Kluyveromyces lactis: one gene and its partners. The protein of the gene in region 4 purifies or fractionates together with the protein of the main gene of each other region. This does not show direct contact. Links are inferred from orthologs where the notes say so. Each region holds a gene or a part of one and is shown on either strand. Other genes may lie near its edges.

Region 1 (4,222 bases), on a different chromosome or scaffold from region 4:
ATGCTATCTCTGATGTCAAGGACTACATTAAAGACATCAAGGATTCCGATGGTAACTCTTACAGTGGCAAGCAAGTCGGTACTGTTGACTCATGGAACGTTTTGGTCGATGGTGGATCTGCTACCGCCATTCAAGCTGCTGACTTTGTCATGGCGAACGCCTTCTCTTACTGGCAAGGTCAAACTATGGATAATGCTTCTTACTCGTTCTTCGACGATATCATGCAAGCTCTACAAACTATCCAAACTACCAAGGGTTCTACTGACATTCAATTCTGGGTTGGTGAAACTGGCTGGCCAACCGATGGTACCAACTTTGAAAGTGCTTACCCAGGTCTAGATAACGCTAAGCAATTTTGGGCTGATGGTATTTGTGCTATGAGAGGCTGGGGTGTCAACGTTATCGTTTTCGAAGCTTTCGATGAGGACTGGAAACCAGATACTTCTGGTATTTCCGATGTTGAAAAGTACTGGGGTGTTTGGGATGCCAACAGAAACTTGAAGTTCAAGTTGGATTGTGATTTCAGCTCTTAATTTTTGAGTTGAGCTTCTCTTCTCTTTAACATACAATACAGATTGTGTGTATTTTTTTTACCCTTCCACTTTCTCATTTGATACCGGTTATAATTGTTGACTTGTTGTTTCCTTTCGTCTCCTATTAACAACTCAAAATTATACAAATGAAGCTTTCATGTCACATTTAGGTCACACATTCCTTCAGCAAATTGATCCATTCATACTTGTTACTACGGCTGTTATCTAAAGGTGATATTAACTTATTACCTACTTGAATTCTTCAAATTGCGATACTATCCATTTTAATTCCTGGACTAAAAAAAAAAAAGAACATTAAAAGAGTACTTTATATATCACAACAGCAGAACATTTTCATGAACCATAAATGTATCTATCCCGTTGTCGAAGTATGCCCACAAAACATCGATCAAGAAGGCATCGTATATGGTATGAAAGCTTCAAAATTATTTTATTTCTTAGCAACATCTATATTTCACTTTTCATATAACTAAATTAAATCGATATTATTTTATACCCTATTTATCATCGATGATTATACGCAATCACACAAAGTTAGACGTCCATTTTGGCCTAACATCAACCGGCGACAGACTCCCACTTCACTTTGTTCTTTGCAATGGTACATTCATTTATCATTACCCGGCTACCAATCGTGTTCCATGATTATTTGAAAATTTTCACAAATTTTCACTCAGTGAAAGCTCATCTCAAAAGAAAATCTGAAAGGTTTGAAATCGAATTAATAGATGAAATTCAGTTGAGACGTGTAATAAGCAATACTTTTCAATTGTAGGTTGGAATCACCAGGTCGTAACAGGGAGACTAGGTTGAGATTAGTACGTGGTATTAAGGAAATAGAACAACGTTAAGCGATAGTCCATTCATCATGTCCCGTTTTTTTTTGAAGACATATGAGTACGATTCAACGTCTTCTGGTGAAGAAGAAGACTTGTTATCTCAAAGTGAAGAGGATTTAGTTTCATCCTCCAGTGAGGAAGAATTATCTGATGACTCTTTCTTCAACGACTCTGATGAGAGTTCCGATAATGATGAAGACAATGATTCTGATAGCAAACCCTACGGCCCTGACTGGTTCAAGAAGCCAGAATTCAGAAAAGGTGGTGGTTCAGGTGCTAACAAGTTCTTGAAATCTACCAACTATTCATCTGATGAAGACTCATCCGACGAAGAAGATGGTAAGAAGGTTGTGAAGTCAGCAAAAGAGAAGTTGTTGGATGAAATGAAATCTATTTACCAAAAAATTGATTCCGCAGAAGCCCAACAAGATTGGGAATCATTATTAAACCATTTGGAAACCATTTTGAAATTATACACAAAAGCCCAACAACAAAACTACGGTACACCTAATATCTTTGTGAAGTCATTGGCTAGATTTGAAGATGCGGTATCTGCTACTTCTCAGGATGAAATTAAGAATAAGGCAGTTGCAAGAGCTTATAACACCACCAAGCAAAGAGTTAAGAAGTTAATCAGAGAAAACGAAACCTCCGTTAAGGCTTACAGAGAAAACCCAGAGGACTTTGACAAGGAACCTGTCTTAGATGCTGATATAGACTCAAGAGATGTCTCTGCTACTCCATTCTCCTTGAGTGGTAAGAAGAATTTAGACTTGGCATCCGTGGCAAATAACATTTCTGAGCTAGACTTTTTCAAGACGTTGAATATTATCATCGATTCTAGAGGTAAGAAAAACACTGACCACACAGAACAAATTAAAACCACCGAAGAACTATTGAAGATTGCCAAGACTCCATATGAAAAGATCTGTACATACTTGAACTTGATTCCAATCAGATTCGATGCATCTGTATCCTTATCATACCAACCACTAGAACAATGGAAAGCATCAAAGGATAACTTGGATGGTTTATTGGAAGTGCTGGAACAAGAGATCGACCACTATCAAGTTACTGAATTTGCCCCAAGAAATGATTTCATTGAAGATGAACCAGAAGCTAATGAGCATGGTGTCAAGGAAATTTTGGGTTCTATCTTCTCTATGGTTGAAAGATTGGACGATGAATTTAGCAAATCCCTTTTGAACATTGACACTCGTTCCAGTGAATACATGGAACGTTTGAGAGATGAACAATCTATTTACAATTTGATTATCAGATCCCAATTGTACTTTGAACGTGTAACTGCAGAAGAACACCGCGATAGACTTTTGGCCCGTGTCTTCAACAGAAGACTTGAACATATCTACTACAAGTCCGACAAGCTCATCTCTATTATGGAAACCGTTGCATGGAAACAAATTCGTGAAGGAACTGCGTCCCTTGAATCCTCTTTCGTTCGTTTGAATGAATCAGATTCCGCAGATGCCGATTACAACTTCAAGGTCATCTCTGAATTGTCCGATTTCTTAATTAAACAAAAGAGTAACAACGTGTTCAACTACAGAAAAGGTACCTTGTACAAAACATATTATATTGCATTGAACCAAGAATACGCTCCAGCAAAGAAAATAATGCTTTCTTCCGATATTGCTAAATTCATTTCAGGCTCTGATGCAGCATTACAAATTTTGTACAATAGATGTGTTATTCAACTTGGTTTGGCTGCATTTAAGGCTGGTTTAATAAATGAATGTCACCAAGTTTTGAACGGTCTTTGTATTAATCCACATCTAAGAGAAATTTTGGGTCAACAAAGTTTACAAAGAGCTAATGCGAACAGCAATGTCGTGCAGGGTGCCCCTGTTGAACAATTATGTCTTCCTTTCCATCAACACATCAACTTGGATCTAATTGACACCGTCTACATGACATGTTCTTTATTACTTGATGTGCCTCACATGGCAGCTTATTACAGCGGTATTAAGGTCAAGAGAATCCCAGTTTTCCAAAAATCTATCCGCCGTATTCTAGAGAGTTCAGAGAAAGCTATTTTCCATGGTCCTCCAGAAACTCTAAGAGATCACATTCTTTATGCTGCAAAGTCAATGCAAAAGGGTGATTACTTACAATCGATCGAATATTTGAGGAAAATTTCTGTGTGGTCTTTGTTGAGTAAATCTGATGATATCATCAACCAACTAAGTGAAAAGGTTCAAATTGAAACTTTGAAAACTTACATTTTCACTTACAAGAGATTCTACTCTAAAATATCCATTTCTAAATTATCGAAATTGTTTGATCTTGATATCGAAAAGGTTTTGGCTGTAGCACAAAACATCATCAATGATTACGAAGTTAAAGCCAAATTGGATGAAAATAACGAATACATTATCTTCGAAAGAGGCGAAGAAATCACAAAGTTAGAAGAAGTTGCCATCAAGTTAGTTAAAGAAACCAAGTACCACTCTGAACGTTTACGCCAGTAAACATTTTCATTCTTCGTTCAGCAGATAAGGTCAGTTTCTAATTGTAGCACTCACCTTCCATACACATAACAAAATTTGCTCTTCCTTCTTTTGTTCACTTACCGTGCGCATATTAATAGACAGAGTCGTTGGCAAAGAACCTTTGTTTTAGCATTTGCAATAAATACTAGTATTTGTACATTATCGATAATATATAACATAGTTCTCACTGTAGGCAATTACGTAGTTTTTGAAATCAATTAATTGAATTTTGGAGACATATAACATCTCGAACATTGACTCGTAACAATACAGTTTATGCGCTGGTTCATTCTATATATATATGTATATGATACACATT
Region 2 (4,093 bases), about 280 kb from region 4:
AATGAGAGAAAACAACATGCTCGCACATGATGTTAGCTTGAAAGAACTTGCATCACTCACGAAGAATTTCTCCGGTGCTGAAATTGAGGGTTTGGTGAAGAGTGCTAGTTCTTTTGCAATCAACAAGACTGTAAATATCGGAAAAGGGGCAACCAAACTAAAAACCAAAGACATTGCAAACATGAAGGTGACTAGACAAGATTTCTTGAATGCGTTAGATGAAGTGACTCCTGCGTTTGGTGTTAGTGAAGAAGATTTGAAGACTTGCGTAGAAGGTGGAGTCTTTAGGTTCTCCAACTCCGTAGACGACATTTTGAAAAACGGTGCTAGATACGTCCGTCAAGTGAGAGAGTCAGACAAATCAAGACTAGTATCCTTACTAGTGCATGGTCCTCCAGGTTCAGGAAAAACTGCCTTAGCTGCCGCCATTGCATTGAAGTCTGAGTTCCCATTTGTTAGATTAATTTCCCCTGAAGAAATAGCAGGTATGTCGGAAACGGCCAAGATCGCATACATCGACAATACCTTCAGAGATGCTTACAAATCGCCACTTAACATTCTAGTTATCGATTCGATAGAGACTCTAGTTGACTGGGTTCCAATTGGTCCAAGGTTCTCTAATAATATCCTACAAGTACTCAAGGTCTATTTGAAAAGAAAACCTCCAAATAATCGTCGTTTGCTTATCATCTCTACTACGTCCGCTTACACGGTGCTTAAGCAAATGGATATACTAAGTTGTTTCGACAACGAAATTGCTGTCCCAAACGTATCAAACCTAGATGAACTGAATAACATTATGACAGATTCCGGATTTCTTGACGATGCTGGTAGAGTCGAAGTTATCCGCAAATTATCCCAAGTTACATCTACTCTCAACGTCGGCGTGAAAAAAGTACTCACAAACATTGAAACAGCAAGACACGATGAGGATCCCGTCAATGAACTTGTTGATCTAATGGTGCAATCATCTTGAATTATACTATTCATTTCTAATATGATACATTTATATATATATATATATTATACATATGTGATATGTACTCGCGACATAGCACATAAACTTCAACTTCGTTCTCAATGATATCAACTTTTGATGAAGGTTGAAATTTTTCAGCATGCTTCCGTTGAAGATCAAAGAGAATAAGTGAAAAAAAACTTTTCAGTCTATTTATGTGAAACTTCTTCCTATTGCACCTTGCAAAATAAAGATATATACTTGGATCTAGTCTCTGATTTAGAAAGGGTAGATAACAACCGTTCTCGACCCATCGATTATACTAGCATTTCATCATGGCTCCACCGGCTTTACGTCCTGAGAATGCCATTAGAAGAGCTGACGAATTAGTCTCTGTTGGCGAGCCAATGGCTGCGTTGCAATCTCTATTTGATTTATTATCTTCAAGAAGGTCTCGTTTTGCTGATGCTGCCACTTTGGAACCTATAATCTTCAAGTTCTTGGAACTTGGTGTTGAATTGAGGAAGGGTAAAATGATCAAGGAAGGTTTATACCAATACAAGAAGCATATGCAACACACTCCCGAAGGTTTGATTTCTGTAGGTGCTGTTGCTCGTAAATTCATCGATTTGATCGAAACTAAGATGACCAACATCCAAGCGCAAACTGATGCCAAAGAAGAATCCAACAAGGACCAAGCCGAAGAGGATCTAGAGGGTGGTGTCACCCCAGAAAATTTGTTGGTTTCTGTTTACGAACAAGAACAAACTGTTGGTGGATTCAACAATGATGATGTTTCAGCTTGGTTGAGATTTACCTGGGAATCTTACCGTACCACTCTAGATTTCTTGAGAAATAATTCTCAATTGGAAATCACGTATGCGGGTGTTGTTAACAGAACCATGCAATTCTGTTACAAATATAACCGTAAGAATGAATTCAAGCGTTTAGCTGAAATGTTACGTCAACATTTGGATGCCGCAAACTACCAACAACAGAGATATGGTCACCACACTGTCGATTTATCAGATCCTGACACTTTGCAACGTTATTCTGACCAACGTTTCCAACAAGTTAACGTTTCTGTTAAATTGGAATTATGGCATGAAGCTTTCAGATCCATTGAAGATGTTCATCATTTGATGCGTCTCTCGAAGCGTGCTCCAAAGCCCTCTGTGTTGGCCAACTACTACGAAAATTTGGCCAAGATCTTCTTTGTCTCTGGTAACTATTTATTGCACGCTGCTGCATGGGAAAAATTCTACAATTTGTACTTGAAGAATCCAAATGCTTCCGAAGAAGACTTTAAGTTCTATTCATCTCAATTTGTCTTGTCCGCTTTGGCAATTCAATTGGATGACTTACCAATTGCTGGTTTCGATCCTCAAATTCGTCTATGTGACTTACTAGACCTTGAAAGTAAACCAAAGAGAAAGGATTTGATTACTGCTGCTGGTGAACAACAAGTCGTAGAGAAAGCTGACGCTGATATTTTGAAATTCTTCAATATATTGGAAACTAATTTCGATGTGAAGTCTGCTAAGTCTCAATTGTCTGCACTTTTGCCAAACTTGGTTGAAAAGCCATATTTCGCCCAATACGTGGCTCCATTGAGAAACCTATTCATCAGAAGATCCATCATTGAAGTCTCAAAGGCTCAAACATCTATTCACTTAGTTGAATTGCATGAAATGTTGTCACTGCCAGCTCCTTTCGAATTATCTGTTTTTGAACTAGAAAAATACTTAATCCAAGCTGCTATGGATGATTATGTTAGTATTTCCATTGACCATGAAACTGATACCGTTTCATTTGCCCAAGATCCATTTGACGCTTGGCAAGCATCTCTTGTTGAAGTTCCCGAATCTAGCACTTCTGATGAAGCAAAGAACTCTGAATCCGAAGAGGAAACCTCCCAAGAAACGCATGCTGATGAGGAACAGAATGAACAAGTCTTCACTCGTAACTCAGAAGTCCGTTCTAAGTTGACTGATCTATCCAAGATCTTAAAGGCCAACGAAGAATACGAAAATGGTTCTTACTATTACAGAGTCAAACTTGTGCGTGAAGAATTGATCAGAAGAAAGGAAGAAGTTATCAAGTTAGAAAAGGAAGCTGCTGAAATTAGAGCTAAGAGTAACGCTGAACGCAAGAAGAGAAGCGAAGAAGAAAACAAGATTCTTGCCAAGAAGGCTCTAGAAGAAAGGCAAAGACGTATGGCTGAGGAAAAGGCTGCTGTTGAATCTTCTATGGAGAAAGAAGCGGAACGTCGTGCTGAAGAAATGATGGAACGTGAGAGAGAAGCGATCCATGAACAAGAAATGAAGAAGTTGATTGCTGAAACTAATGCCAATGGTGTCATTCATATTGATCCAAAGGAAGCCAAGAACCTAACAAGTGATAAGATCAACCAAATGGTCATTGAACAAGTAGCCAAGAACAAGAAGGATTTGACTGAACGTATGACCTATGCCTTCAAGAAGTTAGATCACCTGGAAAGAGCCTATAGACAAATGGAATTGCCATTGTTAGAAAAGGACGCTGAAGAGCAAAAAAAGAGGGATAGAGAGAATTACGACAATTTCAAGAAGAAGTTAATTGAGACTTCCAAGGCCGACTATGAAAAGAAATTGGCTCTACATCAACGTTTGAACAAAATCTACAGTACTTTCAACCAATACAAGTCATCTGTTATCGCTGAAAAGAAGGAAGAGTTAGAAAAACAACGCGCCTTGAAGGAAGCTCAATTAGAAGAAGCTAAGAAGCAAAGAATTGAACAAGTCCGTAAGGAACGTTATGAAGCTAAAGTTGCTGAAATACAAGCTGCAATTGAAGCTGAAGCTGCTGAAAAGGAGGCTTTGGCTAAGGAGGAAGAACTTGCCAAGAGACGTGCCGAACGTGAAAGAATCAACAAGGAAAGAGACGAAATTGCTAGAAAGCAAAGAGAAATCGAAGAACTTCTTGAAAAGAAGAACGGTAGCTCTAGATCTAGCCCTGTTCCTTCTACTCCAACCCCAGCACCAGCACCAGCACAAACTGCTCCGGTATCCAATAAACCAATGTCTATGGCTGAAAAGTTGAGACTGAAGAGAATGAATGCTGGAAGAGGTTAATATCTTGCATATCTCATTCAGA
Region 3 (2,181 bases), on a different chromosome or scaffold from region 4:
AAGGAGTCCTTGATGGCTATTTTGGAAGCCTTTGCATACGATCCATTAATCAACTGGGGTTTCGATCTACCGACTCAAGCCGTGATGGAACAGACGGGAATAGATCTACCTCTTGCAAATCCAAGTGAGTTACTAAGAAAGGGCGTCATCACCGTTGAAGATGCGGCCAAGATGGAACTACAACAAAAGGCAGAAGTCCGCAACGCAAGAGCCACTCTTGTTCTCAAAAGAATCGCTGATAAACTTACTGGTAACGATTTCCCAAGGTATCAAGAACTATCTGTGCCTGATCAAGTCGACAAGTTGATCCAGCAAGCTACATCAGTAGAAAACCTATGTCAACATTACATCGGCTGGTGTTCGTTCTGGTGATACCTAAACAAAAAGAACATCGCTAAAAGCATTATAGACTATTGAATCATTATATCTTCTTATACACTATGTATTTGTAAGAAGGTGCGTATACCTGTCATTATTTATCAAAATAAAAATCATACTCATCAAGAATACTTACCTTCATAATCCAATACCCGAGCTTGCCATTTGGATAGGAGTACCTTCAATGAATCTAAAGGTTGTAATTCTTCATCGAAGTGTCTAGCGGACAACACCCTGTTAATCCGTAGTTCGTCTTGAGCTTGCTTTAAGTCTGCAGCAACTTGAGGGTCTGCATTCCCATAAAGCGTGGTAAATAGCCTCAATTTACCCACAATTTCCCCTATTTGAAACCCATACTTAGCACCCAAGGGGAAGGTATCGTCAAACCCAGCTTGCAAGTTTTCCTCCTTCGCTGACGAAATACCATCTAAATACCCTCTTTTCGAATGTATTTGTTGAAGTTTCTTCACTTCTAGCGACTCTTGAGGACCGGTACTGGCCTCATTATCAGAGCCCCATATATTTTCCTCATCTGTCATCTCCACGGTCATTGGTCGTGAGGTTATGATCAATATCTTGGTCCTCTAGTGGACACCTCTTTATCATCTCATCGTGTACTCTGTATTTAATAAGCTTTCAACATTGAAAAATTCCCAGCTGAACCTTTAACGACTTTGAATGATAAGATCTTTTGGATTATAAAATATGAGAAATAAAGGTTTGTAAAGGGCCATTGAGAGCTCAAGAAGGTGTTGAGGCGCGATGTCTAGTGGAACGATATTCAAGAAACAGAAGTTGAACCCATCAGATGGTAAAGGTCAAGCAAAACCATGGGTTGAAAAGTATAGACCAAGGAAATTAGATGATGTTGCTGCTCAGGATCATGCCGTTACCGTCTTGAAAAGGACTTTACAGACTGCAAATTTGCCACATATGTTGTTTTATGGTCCTCCTGGTACTGGTAAGACTTCTACTATTCTTGCTTTGACGAAAGAGTTGTACGGTCCCCATTTATCGAACAGCAGAGTTCTAGAATTAAACGCGTCCGATGAACGTGGTATTTCGATCGTCAGAGAGAAAGTGAAGAACTTTGCTAGGCTCACTGTGTCTAAGCCATCAGAATCAGACCTTGCGAATTATCCATGTCCACCATACAAAATTATCATTCTTGATGAAGCCGATTCTATGACTGCTGACGCACAAAGTGCGCTGCGTAGAACCATGGAAACCTATTCTGGTGTCACTAGATTCTGTTTGATCTGTAATTACGTTACTAGAATCATTGATCCCTTGGCTTCAAGGTGTTCCAAATTCAGATTCAAAGCGTTGGATTCATCCAATGCACTAAGCCGTCTACAGTTCATCGCTAACGAAGAATCTTTGAAATATGAAGACGGTGTTCTTGAAAGAATATTAGATATTTCCCAAGGTGATCTAAGAAAGGCTATAACTCTGCTCCAATCTGCAGCTAAGATCGTGTTGCAGAACGATGATGCGAATACTATTACTTTGAAGCATGCTAATGAATTATCGGGGACGATTCATGAAGAGATACTACAGGATCTAATCAACGTAATAAAAGGAAAAGATCTCAACAAGATTATTGATAAGGTACAGGAATTTGTTAACCAGGGATGGAGTGCAGCTTCAGCATTGACCCAATTGCATGAGTATTACATCAAGAATGAAAGCTACGATACAGAGTTTAAGAATAAGGTATCTTGGCTACTTTTCGATAGCGATTCCAAGTTAACCAACGGAGCTAGCGAGCATCTTCAAATGTTGAACCTAGCAATGAAGGTA
Region 4 (8,954 bases):
ATGATCACGTGATGTACAATTGTTCTGTTTTAAAAGAAATTAACCTTTAAAATGAAATAAAGTGGTAACAAGAACTCTGTCAGAGGCGAGAGATAAGCGAACCACTTTCGCCAGTGTGACTCAATTCTTCTGCACAATATCATTATTCAACGTGAATTTATTGTACTTTCGTTTAGTTGTGTTTTTGTCCCGTTTGGAAACTGGTAAGAAGTGATGAATCCCACTGTTAGTGATGAACGAGATCGGGCAGAGAGAATTAGACTCAGCATAATGGGGCCTCAAACGAGGTCCAGTCGAATGAGCTATCGGATATCAAGGTTCAAGTCTACGCACACTCTGTACATACTATTACTTGCTTCTTTGGCTGTATTGCAGTTTATTTCCATAGCATTTTTCGCAAAAGGGTTCCTTTTAACAAGGACGGTGTTGGATAACGTTGCAGAACTTGATCCCCAGCTTCCCTTCGAAGCTAAATACGATAAGATGGTTTTACTAATAGTGGACGCATTGAGGTTTGATTTCGTTATTCCAGTAGATGAAAATCATGCCAAGTACAACCCTAATTATCATAACAATTTGAAAGTTCTTTATGAGACGGCCCATAACTCAACGGATTCTGTCTTGTTGAAGTTTTTGGCTGATCCTCCCACAACTACGCTACAAAGATTAAAGGGATTGACAACAGGTTCCTTGCCTACATTTATAGATGCAGGATCGAATTTCAATGGTGATGTGATCGATGAGGATAACTTAATAAAACAGCTTTATCTGCATAACAAGAAAATATTCTTTGCCGGTGATGACACTTGGGATGCCCTATTTAATCCGTATTTGGCTCCAGAAAGTGTACCATATGAATCCTTGAACGTTTGGGATTTAGACACAGTCGATAATGGGGTTATTTCTTACTTAGAGGAGTATTATTTCAATGAAGAGAAACGGTCTGAATACGATATCTTGATCGGACATATGTTAGGAGTTGATCATGTCGGACATAAGTACGGTCCTAATCATTTTACCATGAAGGAAAAACAGCTTCAAGTTGATGAGCTATTGCGGAAAATTATAAGCACTGCAGATGATAACACGTTATACGTTGTTATGGGTGATCACGGTATGGACCACACAGGAAACCACGGTGGTGATTCGCAAGACGAGTTGGAAAGTGTCCTTTGGCTATACGCGAAGAATGCCAACTGGAGTAAGGATTACGACAGTTATAATACTACAGATCTGGGTACTTCATATAAGCAAATGAACCAGATTGACCTGGTGCCTACCCTCTCCTTACTATTGGGAATTCCAATTCCATTCAATAATTTGGGTTGGCCGTTGGATGAAATTGCAAATGACCCTGAAGAATTAACGCTTTACCACAATATATGTCGGAACCAATTAGAGAAATATTTGAGCGTCAGTAACATAATCGGTGCCACTGCTAGACGTGATGCGTTGATAAGCGTCGAGAACCACCCAGAGTTTCAACAAATGTTCCTTGAAATTTGTAAAGATTTGTGGGCAAGATTTGATTTCACAAGTATATGCGTAGGAATAGCACTCATGGCTTTTTCTTTGATATTGTTACTCATTATAATCAAGTTGATACCTTCGATAGTTGTTGGCCAGATGGTTGGTGATTTCGTTGGTTGTGTCGTAGTCATTTCGGCAATATCAAATGTCAGCTTCCAAGGTATCTACCAAGTGTTACATCAACCAGCATTTTTGGATAATTCTCTTTGGTGCTCTGCTTTTGCTACTTCTGTTGGAATTATTTTGGGAGTGTTCATCCCTATATTTGATCGCTATAGTGTCCAATGGTTATGTTTACGTTTGGTTGAAGAACTATCCGATTATTGGTCAAGAATAGCGACCTTATTCATCACATTGCACGCCCTTCTGTTTACCTCTAATTCATTTACCATTTGGGAAGATAGGATTGTCGCTTTCTTGCTAACCACTTTTGGTATGCTAACATTATATGAATTCGCGTTCCTACCGCAAAGACACTCAACAGCTGCTATTTTATCTGGAGCCGGAGAAAAACAAGGGACTTTATCCGGTAAATCTGTGGGCGAATCTAATTCAGATTCTTTACCGCTGGGCAGATTCGCAAGGATATTAGGTGGGTATCATTCTATTGTGTTGGTTCTATGCACAAGACTCTCTTCCATGATTACTATTTGCCGTGAAGAACAAGGACCATATTGCACGCCAACGTTTACTATCTCCAATAACTATTCATACTATACCATGTTGGGGTGTTTATTTTTAATTCCTGCAATCCCTTCTTGTATTAAGGGTTATTACAACGTATGCTCATCTTATCAAGCAGCAGCACCGATCTGGATCGGGTTGATTCTAAAGGGTTCTTTGTTTGCGAGTTTCACATACTGGTCTTTACTGACAATAGAAAATAAATTCGAAGATTTAGCATGGGACCTAACTATCTGGAAATATACTATATCTCGTATTATTGTCGGTATATCGTTAATTGCCTGTAATATTGGCTGGATGAAAGGGCCCCTATGTGTTAAACTAAACATCCATAATACAGACTTGAAATCTCAACAGGCCACAATCTTAGGTTACTCTAACGTCTATGGATCCCAATACTTTCTATTGGTCATAAACTTTTTGATGGCTATCATGCTTTTCAATAAGCCATTAGGTCAACTATCAATATTCTTAATGTGCAACCAATTACTTTCTATCATTGAAATATGTGACCTACTCAAAGTAAAAGAGAGTTTAATCGGACCCGTTGCCCTTGGTTTACTAGCGTATCAACAGTTTTTCAGTACTGGGCATCAAGCGACAATTCCATCAGTTCAATGGGATATGGGTTTCATTTTAACAGAAAAGATCATTTTTCCTTGGACACACCTTGGGATTGTATTGAATACCTTTGGGCCATTCATATTGGTAGCGCTTTCCGTGGCCTTATTAACTCTTTGGAAGCAACCGCCAAGTGTCTTACAACCACAAACAATTCTTGCAAGAATTGTTTCGAATTCCGGTACTTTGTTGATATATAACAGTGTTCTATGTTTGAGCAGTTTTGTTTGGGTGACGCATTTCAGAAGACACCTAATGGTGTGGAAAATATTCTGTCCTCGATTCCTATTTGCATCATTATGTTTGATAGTAAGTCAACTCGTTGTAACATTTATTACTATTGGTTTTGCAAGTTCTAGACTAATCAGGCAGATAAGTCAATTGTTTTCAAAATAAACCTTACTCGAAACCAATATAGTAGGAACTCTCTTAATGTATAAATAAATTTATTTATTTATTTATGCGAGATGGACACGGACGATTCGTATGTGTCGTTTTGAAGAGGCCTGTTTTATTTGATTTGCATTCAATATCTCGCGAAATTTTTGGTTGATAATTGGGAGAATAAATAATTTATAGATATTATACAGATGTATTAATTATTGTACAGTAACATTTATGCACAAAAATGGTATTGCCGAGGACTATGCCGTTCCAATCAATTGGAATTGATTCATGATTTGTAATATAACCTTAAAAACCAGCCAACAGATAAGAAATGATGAGAATTAGATAGGATGAATGATGAATAATGACAAAAAAATAAGCAAAAAAGACACATTAGAATGGATACCCGATCGCCATTAGTAAGGCGATTAAACACCATTGTGGTCTAAGAAGAAATAGTTACCAGATGACTTTTGTTCTTTATCCATTTGGGAGTCTAATTTATTGATTCTTGGTCTGAAAGAGGTTGGATCTCTTCTGAAGGTAACGTTCAAGTTCTTTAAGAATTTGTTACAACCAGTCAACAAACTTTCTGGAGCTCTAGCGAAAGCTTGCTTAGATGGGATACCATCGAACACGATGACTTTATCGGCCAAATATGTAGCCATGATAAAATCGTGCTCGACGATGAATGCAGTTTTCTTATTATGCAAGATGAAACGTCTGATAACTTTAGAACAAATGATACGTTGTTCAGAATCTAAGTAGGCAGATGGTTCATCAATCAAGTAAATGTCAGCATTCATACCCAAAGAAAGCACAATAGCCACTCTCTGTAATTCACCACCAGACAAATGCTGAACTTCTTGATCAATGATATCATCGATTTTCAAAGGCTTAACGACATCAGTTTGGAACTGTGGGTTCAAGAATTGTGCTCTAATTCTCTTAAAGAACAATTGACGCACAGTACCAGTGAACTTTGGAGCAATCTTCTGGGGCTTCATTGAAACGTTCAACTTAGGAATATCTTGACCATCATCAGCAGGAATAGCACCTGCAAGAAGTTTAATTAATGTTGTCTTACCAGTACCGTTTTCACCCATCATAACCAAGATTTGAGAATCGGAGAATTCACCTGCTTCAACGGTTAGAGAGAAATCACCTTGTGTACGTTTCATATCTGGGTAAGTGAATGCACGGCTTGCATCGGCTTCCAATTCATCACCAGCATCAGCCATACGGAATTGTAGCGCTTCAGTTCTGAAACGCAAATTTTCAGACGGAATGTGACCATCTAAGAATATATTAATACCTTCACGGACAGAAGATGGTAAAGTAACAACACCATAAACAGAAGGCACACCATAAATAATACAAACAAAATCCGACAAATAATCTAGCACCGATAAATCGTGCTCCACACAGATAACGTATGTGGTTGGATTCAATAGAGATCTGATAATTAAAGCAGCGTTCAAACGTTGCTTAACATCCAAATAAGAAGAAGGTTCATCGAACATATAAACATCTGCTTCCTGAACACAAGACATACCGATAGCAAATCTTTGCAATTCACCACCTGAAAGGGCAGAGACTTCTCTGTTCAAAACATTCTTTAACTGTAAGATATCGATATACCTCTTAGCATCATCTTTTGATTTCTCCAATCTCAATTTCAACAACTCGCCAACTTTTTGGACGGGGCCCTTAATGGCACGAGGAATGTTATCCACATATTGTGGCTTGATGATAGCTTTGATATCATCTTCCAACATCTTAGTGAAATAGTTCTGCAATTCAGAACCACGGAAATATTTAATGATCTCTTGCCATTCTGGAGGATCTTCGAAACGACCAAGGTTAGGCTTTTGCTTACCTGCCAAGATCTTCAATGCAGTAGACTTACCAATACCGTTGGTACCGACAAGACCCAAAACCTGACCCGGTCTTGGAGTGGGCAAACGATGCAACTTGAAAGAGTTTGCCGAATAACGATGTGTCACTTGAGAATCTAAATTCGTTGGCAAATTGATGATTTGAATAGCATCAAATGGACACTTTTTAACACAAATACCACAACCGATACACAAATTTTCAGAGATAAACGCAATCTTGGAAGTAGGCATCACTTCTATACATAACTTACCAGTCTTAACCACGGGACAAGATCTCTTACATTCCTGACGACATTTCTTTGGCTTACACTTATCCTCGCTGACAATAGCGATACGAGTATTTTTCGATGACATTTTTTTTGGTACTATGAGTTTGTTTTGTGTTTCTATGATTGAATTAAAATTCAGGTACTTCCCAGTATCCGTTCTCTATCAATAAAAATGTTGGGAGTTGGAGCGTAAAGATTCCGTAAATGTATATTGTTTATGCCCTTGCTAGTGGGAGACGCTGTAGTTTATAAACCTTCCTGATTCCTTGCTTTGCAATTGACCTAGGATAGATTAGGACAGATTAAAATATAAATTAGGATGGATTAAAATCAGATTAATAATATCCTTCTGTATCCGAAATAAATAGTTTTAAGAGTAGTCTTATATCAAACTCTTCTCACCAGCCTTGAAACCGTATTCTCTAGTCTGTGCTTCTAAAACAAAAAAAAACTCTTTAAAAAAACGAATACCACTACTAAAGAATCAGAACCTATTACTTATTGAGATACAAGTAATCAAATTATAAGTACAACTGAATTAAAGCAAACTAAAACAAGTGAAATAACTTTATATTTTAAAACCTTTACCATTGTTTTCATACAGATAAAGCTTGGAAATTGTTATTGTTCCATTCTCGTTTTCTCGATGAGATGAGCTTTGTGAAATTTTTCAGTGAAAAAAAAAAAAAAAATTTTTTTTGGTGATGAAAGGATTAGTTAATTATCGTTTAGAGTGATGTGATATGAATATATAAAGAAAGCCGGCTTGAGATCTTGTTTTCTCTTCTTTGGATATCACTTTTCGGGGAATCATTTTTCCGGAACTTGGGCGGTTAAATCATGTCGAAGAAGCAAGGGTAGATTTGGGCGGGAAAGTGCCACTATGGTGGGAATTTCCCTGGAGTTATGTCATTGTGGTTGATTCAGGGGTGTCTCTCCGGTGTGGGCTCGCGTTGCCCATTTTTCAATGGGCAACGCGATATAAGTGCTTGAGTTTGTTCCTCCCTTTTTGAGGTGCATCATTCATATGGAATTGCTCACCAAGTGTGTAAACGTTTGGTTACTGATACGATGAAAGGGGCCCGTACTCGATTAGTACGGGATATGCTCTCTATTGTCGACTTTTTGAAATCGCCAGCATTTGAAATATTCACGGAATTCATACTGTACTGTATTTTTTTCTGTTGAAATTGAAACTGCTGTTTTATCAACTGGAAACCTCCTCAATTGACCACCGTTTGACCGTTCATTATCCAACCTTATTCTTTCCTTCGGTCTGAACAAACCGAGTAGACACGCCATGTACGTGTTTATTCAGCGTTTGCCAAGTCTGTCTCCACTGACATATGTGCCGATCATCTTCTACTTCTTGCTACCTTGCCCCATCGATTGAGATGGATAGTAATGTAATCCCCGTCTTGGTTGTCACCTGTCAACGGTAATGTGATACATTACTTCCTAGTTACCCTCTTTCTCACCCTAGTTTTATAAAATTTTTTTAGTCCTATATCGTCTGTATCTTTCCCGTAGTCAAAACTTGTTTTGAACTCTTTTTCCAATCTAAACCTGTAAAGAAAAGACCCATTCAACAGAGCACACGATTTAAACGTGAGAATATCTGCATTTAAGGATTCGATAGGTATTCTAAAGCAGTGGAGGTGAACGAATCTATTGTCACAGAGTGTTAAAGTTGTGTTTTGTATTAATATTTTTTTTTGTTTTTCCCTCTGTTTAGATTCATGCAATAATGGTACAGGATTTACCAGACGAAGTCTTAGCGAATCCGGAACTTTACGGGTTGCGTAGGTCGCATAGAGCCGCTATCACCCATAATACTTATGCTGGTTTAGATTCAGATTCAGATGAGGAAGTGATTCGTCCCAGAAGGGGTAAGCAAAAGCGGAAGGCTGTGAAACAGGAACATAATTATGACGAAGAAGAGGAAGAAGAAGAGGAAATTGATGATTTCAGTGACACTGATGATTTCGGTTCGAAAAGGAAACCAACCCGCGCACCTAGTGCCAAAAGGGGTAGGAAGCGTGTCAGTGCTGGTAATTCAAAGAGTAAACGCCAAGCGAAACGTGTCGAGGAGAGTGACGAGGAAAATGTCGTTTTGCCTACCAGGTTTTCGTCTCGGAATAATAATAAAGTCATTAATTATACATTAAATGATGATTCTAACGATGAGGATTTGATGGAATCTTCCGAGGAACAGGATGAGGGTCATAATTTGGATAGCGAGGATATGGACTTGCAAGATGGATATTCTGCTTCGCCGTCGCCGCAACAGGAAACGCATAGCATCGACATCGTTGTCGATCATCGTTTGAAGGAAGGTGTTGATAATTCGGGATCGACGAAGAATCGTAGATGGGATGTGGATTCCATCAGAGCTAACTTTGAGTTCCTTATTAAATGGGCAGATCAATCTCATTTACATAACAGTTGGGAGTCCTACGAGGACCTCAAGGAGAACGGGACTAAAGGTTTGAAAAGAATAGAGAATTATTATAAACAGTTTATCATTTTAGATCAAGAGGTGAGAGCAGACCCATATACCACCAGAGAGGATATAGAAGTCATGGATCTTGAGCATGAGCGTAGAATTGACGAATTCGAAGAGTTCAAGGTGCCAGAACGGATCATTGACTCGGAACGTTTTGAAAATGAGGACGGATCAGGTTCGTCCCAATTGAAGTATCTTGTAAAATGGCGTCGTTTAAATTATGATGAGTGTACTTGGGAAGTAGCCTCCGAGATTGTCAAGATGGCTCCTGAACAGGTAAAAGAGTTCCAAAACAGAACCAATTCCAAGATAATGCCACAAAACTCCTCTAATTACCCAGCAAATCAAAGACCGAAATTCGAAAAGCTAGACGCCCAACCTAGTTTCATTAAAGGTGGGGAACTAAGAGATTTTCAATTGACTGGTATCAATTGGATGGCCTTTCTTTGGTCAAAGAACGATAACGGTATCCTTGCTGATGAGATGGGTCTTGGTAAAACTGTTCAAACTGTTTCATTTATCAGTTGGCTCATTTACGCTAGAAGACAAAACGGTCCTCATTTAGTAGTGGTACCTTTATCAACCATGCCTGCATGGCAAGAAACTTTTGATAAATGGGCTCCTGGTTTGAACTGTGTTTACTATATGGGTAATCAAGCTTCAAGGGACTTAATTCAAGATTATGAATTTTACACCAACCCACAAGCTAAGGGCAAAAAACATCTCAAATTTAACGTTCTGTTGACAACATATGAGTATATTTTGAAAGATAGGTCAACGTTGGGTTCAATTAAGTGGCAGTTCCTGGCTGTGGATGAAGCTCATCGTTTGAAAAATGCAGAATCATCTCTATATGAATCTCTAAACAGTTTCAAAGTTGCGAACAGATTGTTAATCACCGGTACACCGTTACAAAATAACATTAAAGAATTGGCGGCATTGGTGAATTTCTTAATGCCAGGCAGATTCACTATTGATCAAGAAATCGACTTTGAAAATCAGGACGAACAACAGGAAGAATACATCAGAGATTTGCATAAGAGGTTACAACCCTTTATT

The links. The genes of interacting proteins can lie anywhere in the genome.
Region 1: the proteins of RLI1 (region 4) and NIP1 purify together in Saccharomyces cerevisiae (affinity purification with western blotting; 4 studies listed by BioGRID, with this or other methods). This does not show direct contact. The link is inferred for Kluyveromyces lactis from reciprocal best matches to the Saccharomyces cerevisiae genes RLI1 and NIP1.
Region 2: the proteins of RLI1 (region 4) and RPG1 purify together in Saccharomyces cerevisiae (affinity purification with mass spectrometry; 3 studies listed by BioGRID, with this or other methods). This does not show direct contact. The link is inferred for Kluyveromyces lactis from reciprocal best matches to the Saccharomyces cerevisiae genes RLI1 and RPG1.
Region 3: the proteins of RLI1 (region 4) and YAE1 purify together in Saccharomyces cerevisiae (affinity purification with mass spectrometry; 3 studies listed by BioGRID, with this or other methods). This does not show direct contact. The link is inferred for Kluyveromyces lactis from reciprocal best matches to the Saccharomyces cerevisiae genes RLI1 and YAE1.

Annotation. Positions count from the first base shown.
Region 1 is NC_006042.1:279,815-284,036, reverse strand, and holds NIP1 (translation initiation factor eIF3 core subunit c), read left to right. Parts: upstream 1-1,422; coding exon 1,423-3,882; downstream 3,883-4,222. Other genes in the region: BGL2 (glucan 1,3-beta-glucosidase), read left to right, coding at 1-533. UniProt on the Saccharomyces cerevisiae protein: Component of the eukaryotic translation initiation factor 3 (eIF-3) complex, which is involved in protein synthesis of a specialized repertoire of mRNAs and, together with other initiation factors, stimulates binding of mRNA and methionyl-tRNAi to the 40S ribosome.
Region 2 is NC_006039.1:1,266,388-1,270,480, reverse strand, and holds RPG1 (translation initiation factor eIF3 core subunit a), read left to right. Parts: upstream 1-1,293; coding exon 1,294-4,071; downstream 4,072-4,093. Other genes in the region: AAA family ATPase SEC18, read left to right, coding at 1-976.
Region 3 is NC_006038.1:1,229,257-1,231,437, forward strand, and holds YAE1 (Yae1p), read right to left. Parts: upstream 930-2,181; coding exon 501-929; downstream 1-500. Other genes in the region: phosphatidylinositol kinase-related protein kinase TOR1, read left to right, coding at 1-372; RFC2 (replication factor C subunit 2), read left to right, coding at 1,141-2,181. UniProt on the Saccharomyces cerevisiae protein: The complex LTO1:YAE1 functions as a target specific adapter that recruits apo-RLI1 to the cytosolic iron-sulfur protein assembly (CIA) complex machinery.
Region 4 is NC_006039.1:1,540,754-1,549,707, forward strand, and holds RLI1 (Fe-S cluster-binding ribosome biosynthesis protein), read right to left. Parts: upstream 5,475-8,954; coding exon 3,651-5,474; downstream 1-3,650. Other genes in the region: mannose-ethanolamine phosphotransferase GPI13, read left to right, coding at 214-3,231; chromatin-remodeling ATPase CHD1, read left to right, coding at 7,137-8,954. UniProt on the Saccharomyces cerevisiae protein: Component of the multifactor complex (MFC) involved in translation initiation. Required for the binding of MFC to the 40S ribosome. Required for the processing and nuclear export of the 60S and 40S ribosomal subunits.